3 linked regions of the Diceros bicornis minor genome follow. The protein of the gene in region 3 interacts with the protein of the main gene of each other region in a pairwise test. Links are inferred from orthologs where the notes say so. Each region holds a gene or a part of one and is shown on either strand. Other genes may lie near its edges.

Region 1 (3,746 bases), on a different chromosome or scaffold from region 3:
GCACCCGTCAGGCACGCGCCCTGCCCTCCCTGAGGCCCAGGCCGCTGGTGCCCCCACGAGGCCTCTGTTTGCTGAGCTCGTGCCACCGTGAGGATGGGCAGAGGTCACTGGGCCACCCAAGTGGGCAAGGAGGCCCGAATTTTCTCCATTTGGTACTTGGTGCCTCAATTTCTCCCCTCTTCCTTCCAAAACCTGGGGCAGCAGTGCTCAAGCTACAGGGAGATGAGACAGGAGGTAGACCTGGTCCAGCGGGCCTGGTGGGGCAAGGCCATTCTGGAGAGCATGTTCCATGGCTCAGACTGGAGCAGGAGGAGATGGTGCAGGCAATTCGATGCCCAGAAAGACACGAGGCTCAGCTGCTACAATCCAGCTGACTCCCCTTCTGCTAACCACCCCCGCCAAGATTAGGGGCAAACCCACCCCTCACAATGCACTTGTGTGGCTCCTTTCCCTCTTCAGGGGCGCCTGTGATTCCACGCGGACGGGCGTGTGTGGTGTGGAGGACGTTTGGAGGCATGTGGGGAAGGCACAGGGAGGATTGCACTGTGCCCCGCAAGCCCAGGAGAGGACTGTGGGGCACTAAACCAGCGGTTTTCAAGTCCAACTGTGCAGCACAATCCCCTGCGGAGCTTTTTAAAAACACAGTTGCCTCGGCTTGACCTCAGGCCTGCTGAAAGCAAGGAGAGAAGAGAGAGCCGCGGGGGTCTGTATTTGGAACCAGCTTTCCAGGATTCTACCACGCGGGTTCTCTGGTAGCCATTTGGAGAGCCCCTCACCTCCAAATCTCCTGCCGCCCCAACCCCTCCACTCCTGAAGGCTGTCTTCAGGCTCTCCCAGAGCTTTTCTCTGGCCAGTAACAAGGACGGGACCTCAGGAGAATATGCCCCGTCCCTCAGCTTCCCTTCCCACCTGGTTTAGGCCCAGAGCGAGACAGAAGAGGCTTAGGAGCAGGACTCCCCCGTGGCAGAGGCCAGCGATTCCCCGCTGGAGCTGGGCCAGGCCCTCAGGGCTCCATGAGCGCTGTCTGGAGCCGGTCTGGAGAAATCTGGGTTTTAAAATGGCTAAATCGCTCCTCTAAGGACCGTTTGAGAGGCGCTGTCTCCGAATGGACTCTGGTGCTGGTCCTTCCGCCACCCCCTGACTGGACCCTCAGCACAAGGATGGAGGGCTAGGGTGAGCTGGGGGGACTAAAACCCTGTCTGATTCATATTTGTATTCCCAAGTGCCCAGCCTTGACTGTGGCAATTCAGTCACTCATCACCATCCATCCATTCATTTATTCACTGAATAAACCGTACGTACCAGGTGCAGGCAAGGAAATGGTAAACAGCAGTGTAGACGGGGCAGACTGACAGGTAAACAGGAAATTCAAACAGCAATAAGGGGGGACATAAAGGGAAAAGCCCCAGCATTGTTGAGCAATGAAGAGACATCTAACCCACGGTGAAGAGTCAGCAAAAGTAAGGCGGTGGGGGGGGGGGGCGGGGAGGAGCGGCAATTTGCCCAACCAACGAGTGTGGGTGCCCCTGGCCTGCTGCAGCAGGCTGTGGCCTGCTCCTACCTGGATGAATTGCTCAAATTTCTGGATATGGGCCTTCAGCTGGACCTCCTTGACGCCCAGTTCCTCCCAGCACAGGTTCAAGCTTTCCATTCTGCGCTGAAATATCTTGAGGTGGGGGAAGCAGAGAGGTCAGAAAGGCCCCTGACGTGCATATGGAGGAAGGCCCCAGCATCCCCCGCCCAGTGCTTCTATCCTCAGGCCTCCTACTTCCTACCCCATGCCCAATTCCAAGCAGAGCATCCTAGGACACTGGTACCCCCAAGGCTTGGATCTTTTCTGTCTCTGCAGAGGGAACACAGAACCACCACCCAGGACTCCTGGCTCTAGCCACCAGCACCCACAAAATGGAAGGCTGTCTTCAGGCTCTCCCTGAGCCTGTGGCCCTTCCTGCACCGCATCCCCTAGTCCCCCACCTTCTTCTTCTGCTCCATAGCCTGGTGCATGATCTTGGCCTCCTTTTTCTTCTCCAGCAGCTGGATGGATGGGGACTCCCACTGCTCCTCACTGGTGGGGAACTTCCTGCCCAAGACACGGGCAAGAGGGGCCTGTAGGTTCTGAGCATCTGGGGCAGGCTGAGAGTGGGAATAACCCGTGGAGACAGATACCCATGGGGAAGGAAGGGGGTCCTGTCCCCCATCGGAGGAAAAGAATGGTATGTTGAGAGGGAGAGAGGGCTGTGTTGGCATCCAGGGAACAAGCTGGGGCAGGGTGATAAGGGGTGGGGATCTGGGTGATGGGGGTGGATTGGTGCCAGGGCCATGGGGCAGGGTGATTGGGGCTCTGGGTTATAGGAGTAGGAGGGGACAGGTTGGAAGGTGGGGCATGGGGTGGGCGTGGGAGGTCCCAGGCATTGGGGTGGGGGGGTCCCCAGACCCTCAGACACTCACTGCAGCAGTTGTAGCAGCCGCTCCCCATACTGCAGCCGGAAGTACTCGGCCAGATCCTCCTCCTCCATGATACCCAGACTCATGGTGGTGGTGACCCGCTGGCCCAGGCAGCCGAATCTTCACAGAAAACAGTGGGTGGTGGAGCCGCAGGTGGGTCTGCAGTGGTGGCTGAGCTCCTGCTTTTCCCTTCCTCCTGCTCTTCAAGGTCCCACAGAAGGGTGGGTGTCTGAGAGACTCAGGCGAAGACGGCTGGAGGCTGACGAGCGGCAGCTCAGGAGGATGTGTTCAGGAGGTGATGGGAGATCTAGTTACCTAGCAACAGGTTGTCTGGTTCTGTGGACCACACATAGAACCCAGGCTTTGTCCTCTGGCCCCTGTCCACACTGACCCCACTTTGGCTGGGTTCCCACTCTCTGCTCTTGCATTTACCCCTCAGGAACTCTGGGAAGAAGTTAGGCTGGATTCGATGCTATTGTCCAGGGCCAGGAGGCAGGGTCTGGGTGTCCAGGGCTGAGAAGGGGTTTTTGTTAGAGGCGTGGCCTTGTGAGGGAGTCCTGCCCCTGGGGCCTCCCTCCTGGGTTCAGCTATGTGTATCAGGGTGAGAGAGGGGGCTGGGGCTGGGACAGACCACTGAGAAGAAAAGGAGCCAAGGAAGGGAAGTGCTGGGGGGGTGGGGGGAGCGGGTCACCGACAGGGAGGATGGGAAGAAGCCTGAAGCTGAGAACTAAGTGGTGGGTGACGGATGTGTACTGGTGTGCGTGTGTGAGGATAGGCAAGAAGCCTGGCCACTAAGGAGGCCCCCCTGGGGATATGGAGGGGGGCACAGGGTGAGGCCCCATTGAGGGTAACAGACTCAGGGCCAGTGCCATTTTTTGAGATTTTCGGAATATTAAAATATGGAGAAAAGCCAAAACATGGTACCATAAATGTCACATATTTTACATGTTTACTGTATGATGGCTGCCTTCTGTGATCCTGTCAGAGCACTGTGCATAAGCTCATTTGGTCTGAGGTCCAGCGTGTAAATTTGAGACCCTGTGTATGAGGCGGGCGCCCTGGGGTCCTGGCCGGAGGTAACGGCCGTGACCTCGAGCTCGCTGCGGCCGGGCACGGCTCCGGGCTCCCTCTGTTCTCTCCTTTCCCCGGCCCACGGCGGCGCGCGACCTCCGTCCCCTCGGTGTGGGAGGGGGAGCCACTGGGGGTCCCTCGCCGGGGCGGCGTCCCGAGCTCCGCAAGCCCACCCTCGCGACACTGCCGGTCCTCTGGCGCCCCCTACTGGCCCCCCGAGCCCGCCCTAA
Region 2 (3,746 bases), on a different chromosome or scaffold from region 3:
CCTCCTCTCCATTCTCTGGATGATGCTCTCGAACCCAAGTCTGTAGCTCCTTGGGTAGGATGGCAACAAACTGCTCGAGCACCACCAGCTCCAAGATTTGTTCTTTTGTGTGTGTCTCTGGCCTGAGCCATAGACGGCAAAGTTCTCGAAGCTGGCTCACAGCTTCACGGGGCCCAGGTGAATCCTGGTATCCAAACTGCCTGAATCGCTGTCGGAAAACTTCTGGGTCAGGCAGATGGTTCCAGGGGATACTTGATCCCTCTTCCCCATCGGGATCCTCTTCCAACTTCACTCTCAGAATTTTTTCCTCTTCATCTGGAGTTGGGATGATAAGTATTGAATCTTCTTCCACTGACTGTGCAGACATCCTGATTTATAATACTTCAAGGAAAGACAATCAAGGCAGGATACAGGCCTCAGGGAAATACTCCGTTTTCTTCACAAGCACTCTTGAGACACAAGAAATAAAAAAAAAATAAATGTCCAAATATCCTAAGTATTTGTACATATACTGATAAAGGAAGTAAAAATATTTGTTTTTTTACCAGATTATAAATTCCAATTAATAACCTACACCAGAAGTTGGCAAACTAGAGCTCACGGCCAAATCTGGCCCACTGCCCATATTCGTGCAACGCTTGTAACAACAATAGTTTTCACATTTTTATATGGTTGAAAAAAATCAAAAGAATACTTCATGATGTGAAAATATGAAATTAAAATGTCTGTGTCCACAAATAATTTATTTGTTCACAGTTTATGCTACAATGGCAGAGTTCAGTAGCTGTGACAGACATAATATGGCCTGAAAAACCTAATATTTATTATCTGGCCCTTTAGAGAAAAAGTTTGCCAATCTATGACCTACAAAATCAACAAACCCTATTTCAATAATAAAAGGAATTCAAGTAAGAACCAGCCCAACTCAATGTTTTCTAAATGCATTTGACCCTAGGACACATTATTTCCAATTCAGGACGGGTGTTGCCTGAGACATTTATGTCAACTCAAAAGCAGGCACTGCTTTTTTTATCCGCTTACAAAAAATTCCTTTTAACAAAATGTTTTTTTTAAGAGTTAAGAAATATTTTTAAAATGTTTATGAACTCCCTGGACTTGAAATATATGCTAAAAAAATTCACTTGCTCAATAACAGCACAATATTGAAAAAAATTAACCACTAGGTGCCATAAAATACAAATATTATTCAGTCACCCACCATACCATAATTACATTTAAATTTATAATGACAGGCATTAATCACAGCAAATTCTATGAAAAAAAGGCACTCTCCTAACACCTTAACTTTTTGCAGCGGCCCAGAATCTCGTCCTTATACTGGATGACTCACAGTCTTCCCAGCTTCTACCTGAAGGGAAACCTTGTGCTATTTCTTCCTTTCCTTAGTATTTGCACAGTCATGCCCGTGCTATTGTTTACAACACATATTAGGAATGAGCCATTATGTAGCTATTCCGGGCCCAGAATCTGAAGACCAGTAATTTCAAAAAAAACTTCTGGTAACCCTATCAAGACTAGAAATCAGAAAAGGACAGGTAAAACATACAGGTTTAATTAAATACTTTGGAGTGTGGTGGCCTCATAAATACGGTTCAGCCAACAGATTCGTTCGTTCCTATTCGACCCTACCTTATCAACGGCTCAAGTATTCCATAGAAGAGAAATTTCTCCTCTTCCCTTTATATTTCTTTCGGCAGCTTGCTCGAGGGACGTGAAGGAGGTGCCAGGAGATCACCCCACCTCACTCCCGCAAAGCGCAGCTGCGAGGCCCGCCCCCGCCCCGACGACCTCCAGCCCCTCTTCCAGGCACTCGCGGCGGCTGATTTCAGACGACCAAAGGCACCCTGCCTCAACGGCGTCGGAGCCACAGCACTTCCGCCCGCGGCCGGGGGAACTACAAGTCCCGGCAAGCCCCGCGCAAGGACCGCCCCCTCCCACCTCCGCCCGAAACGAGTCCCAGAACCCTCCGCGAGAGGCCAGGGCCTCGAAATAGAACAAAACCACCGGTGGGGGAGGGGAAAGGCGAGGACGAGGGAGGACACACGGGATGGAGGACTCTCCGAGGATGCCGAAAGTCCGATCTGGTCTTCCGTCTACCCCTCTCCGCCCTGCAACTGCTGAGAGCGGAGACCGTGGCCTGTCTGCGCCTCTCAGGGAGCCGAGGAAGGTCCCGCCAGGCTTCTTTGCTGGCTCCCGCCAAGCGGGCCGCAGCCCCTAGCCCAGCGTCCCCCTCACGCCCTTCCCCCACCCTGGCGCAAACCTCCTGCTCAGGGTCCGCAGCAGCTTCGCTGTCCACGGCAGACGCAGAAACGCCGCTCACAAGCCGTTTCCCAGAAGCCCCCGGCGCGGACTGCTTCCGGTCTGCGGGCCCCAGGAGGCGGGCGGAGGCGAAGCCCCGCGTTGCCATGGAGATGCGCTCTGGGCGGGGGAGGGGCGGCCCGACGACAATGACCGCTTTGAGGCTGCGCTTGGCCTCGCGCCTCTCTCCTCGGATAGTCCAGTGTACTTTGTTCCGCTTAAAAGGCAAGGAAAAGAAAGAGAGAATTCTGCCATTAAGATAGTCTTCATGGTTTCACAAACCCTTTCACGTGCATTATCTCATGTGATCCCCTCACAGTCATCCTCTGAAAGTAGTAACAAAAGCTGATATTTATAAATGCTTACTACGTTGTGCCAGGCACTGTCACCGTGCTTTATTTACATGTATTGTCATTAATTTTCACAACAACCCTGTGATGTAGGAACTTTTATTATTCCCACTTCACAGCTGAGATAATTGAGGCACAAGTAAATAACTTGCCGAGACCTCATAACTAATGAAAGTGGAGAGCAAGATGTGAAGCCAAGGCATGATTCCAATTTATGGTTCCCACTGGCTATGCTGCAGAGCTTTTTTTTGACCAATTTATCTACCAGGGAAACAAGATGAGACAGGTTAAGAGCTTTGGCAATGATCTCACATGGAATTTGCAGAATGCATAGTCATGTTCTGACTTCAGGCTGGGCATTTTATACCACAAAACAGCTGCTGAAGTGATCATTTAAAAACATGAATCAGACCACTTCATTCCCCTATTTAAAGGCCTTCAATGGATCCTCACTGCCCTAAGACTGACATAAAAACTCCTTACATCTGTCGGCAAGGCCCCCTGTGGTCTGTTGCCTGCCTCCTCCCTCTGACTTCAGCTCTTAGGCTCACAGTGGCCCAGGATTCTTGGCCTCACTGATTGCCTTTCTTCCTGGAAGCCTTCCCCCTCTTCACAGCACTAGTAAAAATGATCTCATTTATTGCTTTCTCTGTTTTTTTTTTTTTGTCTATTAAGTCCCATAAGGGCAGGGACCTTGTCTGTCTTATACACCACAACATCCCAGGCTGCTGACTGCCTGTTACATAGAGAAAACAAATATTTGTTGAATAAATGAATGAATTGTGGGCTGGTCACATTGCTGTCTTTGCTAGGTCACATGTCAGGCATCAGAAACCACACAAAAGAGCCCTGTTGTTTAAGGTCGATGTTAGAAGTGCAGGTCTAGCCTTCCAGAAGCGTTCCAAGATGCCCAGGCTTCAGCTTTCTGCCTCATTCAGGAAAGTGTCCTCTACAAAGTACCTTTAGCCTCTGATGGATTTGTGAATGAGAGAATAAATGAGCCAGCAACTGATGGGATAGCTCTGCTTTACATTCTTTTTTTTTTTTTTTTTGTGAGAAAGATCAGCCCTGAGCTAA
Region 3 (3,746 bases):
GCTAGATGAGAAGTCTGGTAGTCATGAAAGGGAGGGAAACAACTGCCCCTTCATGTCCCTAGCCTCTACCCCTGCCCCACACAGCCCCTCCCTGTCCTAATCCTGGAGCTGCAAGGAAGGAGATAGGCCTCAAACAATCAGGAGGCCAAAATACTGGGCCAAAGCTGAGGCCTCATCCCAGTCAGCAGAGGACTCTGCATACTGTAGGCGCTTAATGAACATTATTGACTCACTGCTGCTAGATGATAATCATGCTTATACAGCCATGCCTAAAATTATTTATGCCACTTTTCAGTAGAAATTAACTAATTGCCCCCATATAGGCTAAAATTGGGTGAGGTTATGTTTTCCAATGAGTCTCAGATTATTAGGTTGGAGCATATTATATATGATTCAAGCCTCAACTTAAAATAATCACCATTACTCTGTATGCCTAGTTTTATGTATGTTTTCATTCAGTTGTAACGTGCTTTAGGGAAAAAAAAAAACAGACTTAGGACCTAAGCACAGACTTAGGACCTAAGCACAATGATGGATTTGGCTCCCATGAGGGCTAATAACGGCAAGTGAAGGTTTCCAGTAAACTAGGGTTCCTACTTACACCCAGTCAACCTATTATCCCAATAAAAGGTAAATGAAGTACTTTCTTTGAAAACTATAATGCTGAGAGTTTATAGTACCCTTTCGTCTTCAAAGGACCAAGCCAAGATGCACAATAGCCAGTACACAATATTATGCCTTTTACCCAAGTGCATCAACTATGAAAGAAAGGTCATAGGAATGTCCTAAGGCCATAAAGCCAATGCAACATCAGATTTGGGACCAACTCTCTGATCTTCTTGTCTCCTAGACCTGTATTTCAACCACATAAATCAAGCTGTGAAGAACAATCAGGAAAAATCTAATTCACATTATATATCTGTATTAAGTTAATTGATTGGGCAGGAATATATAAAAAGAGCAAAGACTACTCCCCCCTCAGGGCAGTGATGAATGCAGAGGGATGAAAGGGGGGATGTGAGGGTTAGGGGCAACCAGCTGGGGTAGAGAAGAAGTAGGAGAGGGAGAAGAAGTAGGGGAGGGCCTCTCCCTGTTAAGCAGTCCCCTTCTATTGGAACATTGCCAGAGAACTGATTAGAGCACCGAGAGACAACAGAATGGGGTTAAAGGCAGCCTTTATGGCCCAACTTGAGAATCAAAGGAATCAACCCATACACAGTACTTGTCTATTTACATAGTCTCTAATATATTCCTTTATAAGGGCTCCTCCTCAGAGACACACACCATCACTATCCACCCGCCCCACACTCAGAAATCCTCAAAAAAGCAAATTGGTTGAGAAGCAAGAGGCTGCATGCCAGGGAGTCCACAGGTTGACGGGGAAACCTGGGGGATAGGTGGCTTCTGGTGAGATATTTGGGTGGACAAGTAGGTGTGTGACGATGTAGGAAGAAGGGGAGTGAGCGTGAAGGCGGGTAGGGGAGTGTGGAAGAGAGAAAATGAAGAACCCAACGACCCCAGGATCCCAATTTTCTGCTCCAAAAAGCGCCTCCAAGAAATAATGTGCTGCACACGAAGTGTTAAGTAGCCTAAACCTTATCATCACCAAAAATGTTTCTGTAAATCTACTCCGCCGTTATTTACTTAATTCTTATGAGCCAGGAATGGAAAAACCCCACCTCTCCCGATTCAGTCGCAGTCTGTCCTATGGACATATGTAAGTTTTCCCGCTCCCCCACTGAGCTGGTTTCACAGCTAGGCCAGAAATAAGGAACCACCCAGGCGGGGATGTGAGGATCGCTCCCCTGGCAGAAAAGGGATTAAGTTTCGCTGGGCCTGCCCGCCGGCAGGGTGTCCGCAGCATCTCCGGCCGCTGCAGCAGCCACCGCCGGGCAGACGGCCTGCCGAGGGGCGCCGCCCGGGCCGAGGAGGCTGCCGGCCGCGGGAGCGTGGGAAGGCGGCGGTGTCCTTTCCCAGACTCGCGCCCAGGCGCCGGGGGAGCCGGCCGGGCTGCGCTGGAGGCCCCGGGCCGCCCCCGCCCCGCGCCGGGAGTGCAAACTCCGTCCCAGGAGGGCAGCGAAGAGAGCCCGGGCCCCCGCGGCGCAACGGGAGCCAGGGCCGGGCCGGAGCCCCCGCCGCTGCCGCCACCTCGAGCCTCGCGGGCCCCCTCACCCTGCCCCGCCGAGCCCCGGAGCCCTCGGCCCGCGCCGGGCCCCGGCGGCACCTGAGAGGCGCCGGGGGCCAGGGCCGAGCCCTGCGCGGGCGGTGGCGCTTGGCCCCCGGGACCGCGGCGAGGGAGCGCGTTTTACCCATTGCGTTCCCGGGTGCCAGCCATCTCCTGGGCGCGCCCGTGGGCGCCGGGCGCTCGCCTGCCTCCGCCGCGAGCGGGCTAGGGCTCCGGCCCGAGCTCCCGGGCCGCCGCCGCCGCTGCCGCCGTTGCCGCCGCCGCTCTAGGCCGCCGCCCGCCGCCGCCGCCGCCGCCGCCGCCGCCGCCGCCGCGCAGCAGCCGGGATCCGCCCGCCCGCGCGGCCCGCCGGGGACAGCACGGCGGTCGCGGCGCTACCGCGGCTGGCTCTCCCGAGCCAAACTTAAAGAGTTTTCGCCCCTCAGTCCAGGGGCAGCACCATGACACCACGGCAGCACCACACTGTCATTTCCGCCGCCGCAGAGGGGAAAAAAAAGGCAATCTCTACGAAAAGGGGGGTGGAGTGGGGTGGGGGCAAGCAGGGCTGGGGCTGGCGCCCCCAGGGAGCACGGAGAAGGGCCCCGGCAGCAGGGGCGCTTGGCCACCTTCCCGGCTCACCTTCCGCCGCTCCCAGCTCCCCCAGCCCCTCCTCTGGAGGCGCCTTTACATGTTTTCTCCCCTGGCAGGAGTGACCAGAGAAACCTGAGCAAGCAAAGGCAGCGGGTGGGTGGGGTTCGGGTTACTACTGTACCTACCAGCTGATTCCAGCAGCCTTTTCTCCAGCGCCCTGTCATCTTGAAGGAAGACACACCGAGAGGGGCCCGAAAGGGCGTGTGTGTGCCTGTGTGTGTGAGAGAGAGAGCGCGCAGAATGTGTGTGAAATGCAGAAAGAAGACTATGGCCAAACTCCTCTCCCACCTGCCAACCCCCTGGTCCCACAAACCCCCAAGTTAGAGCAACGAAAAGGCCTTTGCAACTGGCTATGAGAAGAGAGTGTCTAGGTCCACCGCGCAGGTCCTCTGATGAAGCTGCTCTATGCAAAGTTAACTACAGAGTAAAACAAAAATAGTGGAGGAGACAGAAAAGGGCAGACAATTGAAGGAAACCCAACCCCTCTTTCTTTTTACAAAGGGAGAAGGGCAGTGTTTTATTGGCCTTGGGCAGAAGTTGTGGGGATGGATTAAAGCCATGAAAATTTTAAAAAACAAACAAACAAAAAACCTGTACAAAGTACACAAAGTGCACATTCAAATCCTTGATAGGCAAAACAAGAGGGTGGTTACTAAGAGGGCAATGGACCAGATGCCAGCTCTCCAGGTATTCAACCTCCCTAATAAGCTAATTGGTCCATCTGGAACCCAGAAGCGCTCATTGGTCTGGAGTCAGCCTGTCGACTGACATGTCATTGGCTCAGAAACCACTACCCCACTGACAAGGAGGCCGGGAGAGGGAAGGAGGAGGAGGCCCCAGAGGAGAGTCCCTACCTAACATGGGGTAAAAGGAGAACAAAGTGAGAAAATGGGAGGAAACACACTCACCCCCCCCCGTCCCCCCCCCCCAG

The links.
Region 1: the proteins of MID2 (region 3) and CCDC42 interact in binary tests that used the Homo sapiens proteins (3 or more experiments, as listed by UniProt). The two-hybrid records come from large-scale screens. The link is inferred for Diceros bicornis minor from reciprocal best matches to the Homo sapiens genes MID2 and CCDC42.
Region 2: the proteins of MID2 (region 3) and ZNF24 interact in binary tests that used the Homo sapiens proteins (3 or more experiments, as listed by UniProt). The two-hybrid records come from large-scale screens. The link is inferred for Diceros bicornis minor from reciprocal best matches to the Homo sapiens genes MID2 and ZNF24.

Annotation. Positions count from the first base shown.
Region 1 is NC_080757.1:9,742,462-9,746,207, reverse strand, and holds the start of CCDC42 (coiled-coil domain-containing protein 42), read right to left. Parts: upstream 2,532-3,746; coding exon 2,449-2,531; intron 2,081-2,448; coding exon 1,975-2,080; intron 1,667-1,974; coding exon 1,562-1,666; intron 1-1,561. UniProt on the Homo sapiens protein: Essential for male fertility. Required for sperm development.
Region 2 is NC_080755.1:29,479,566-29,483,311, forward strand, and holds the start of ZNF24 (zinc finger protein 24), read right to left. Parts: upstream 2,362-3,746; 5' UTR 2,282-2,361; intron 2,061-2,281; exon of another isoform or gene 1,651-2,060; intron 450-1,650; 5' UTR 368-449; coding exon 1-367. UniProt on the Homo sapiens protein: Transcription factor required for myelination of differentiated oligodendrocytes. Required for the conversion of oligodendrocytes from the premyelinating to the myelinating state.
Region 3 is NC_080781.1:100,494,135-100,497,880, reverse strand, and holds the start of MID2 (probable E3 ubiquitin-protein ligase MID2), read right to left. Parts: upstream 2,776-3,746; 5' UTR 2,314-2,775; coding exon 2,310-2,313; intron 1-2,309. UniProt on the Homo sapiens protein: E3 ubiquitin ligase that plays a role in microtubule stabilization. Mediates the 'Lys-48'-linked polyubiquitination of LRRK2 to drive its localization to microtubules and its proteasomal degradation in neurons.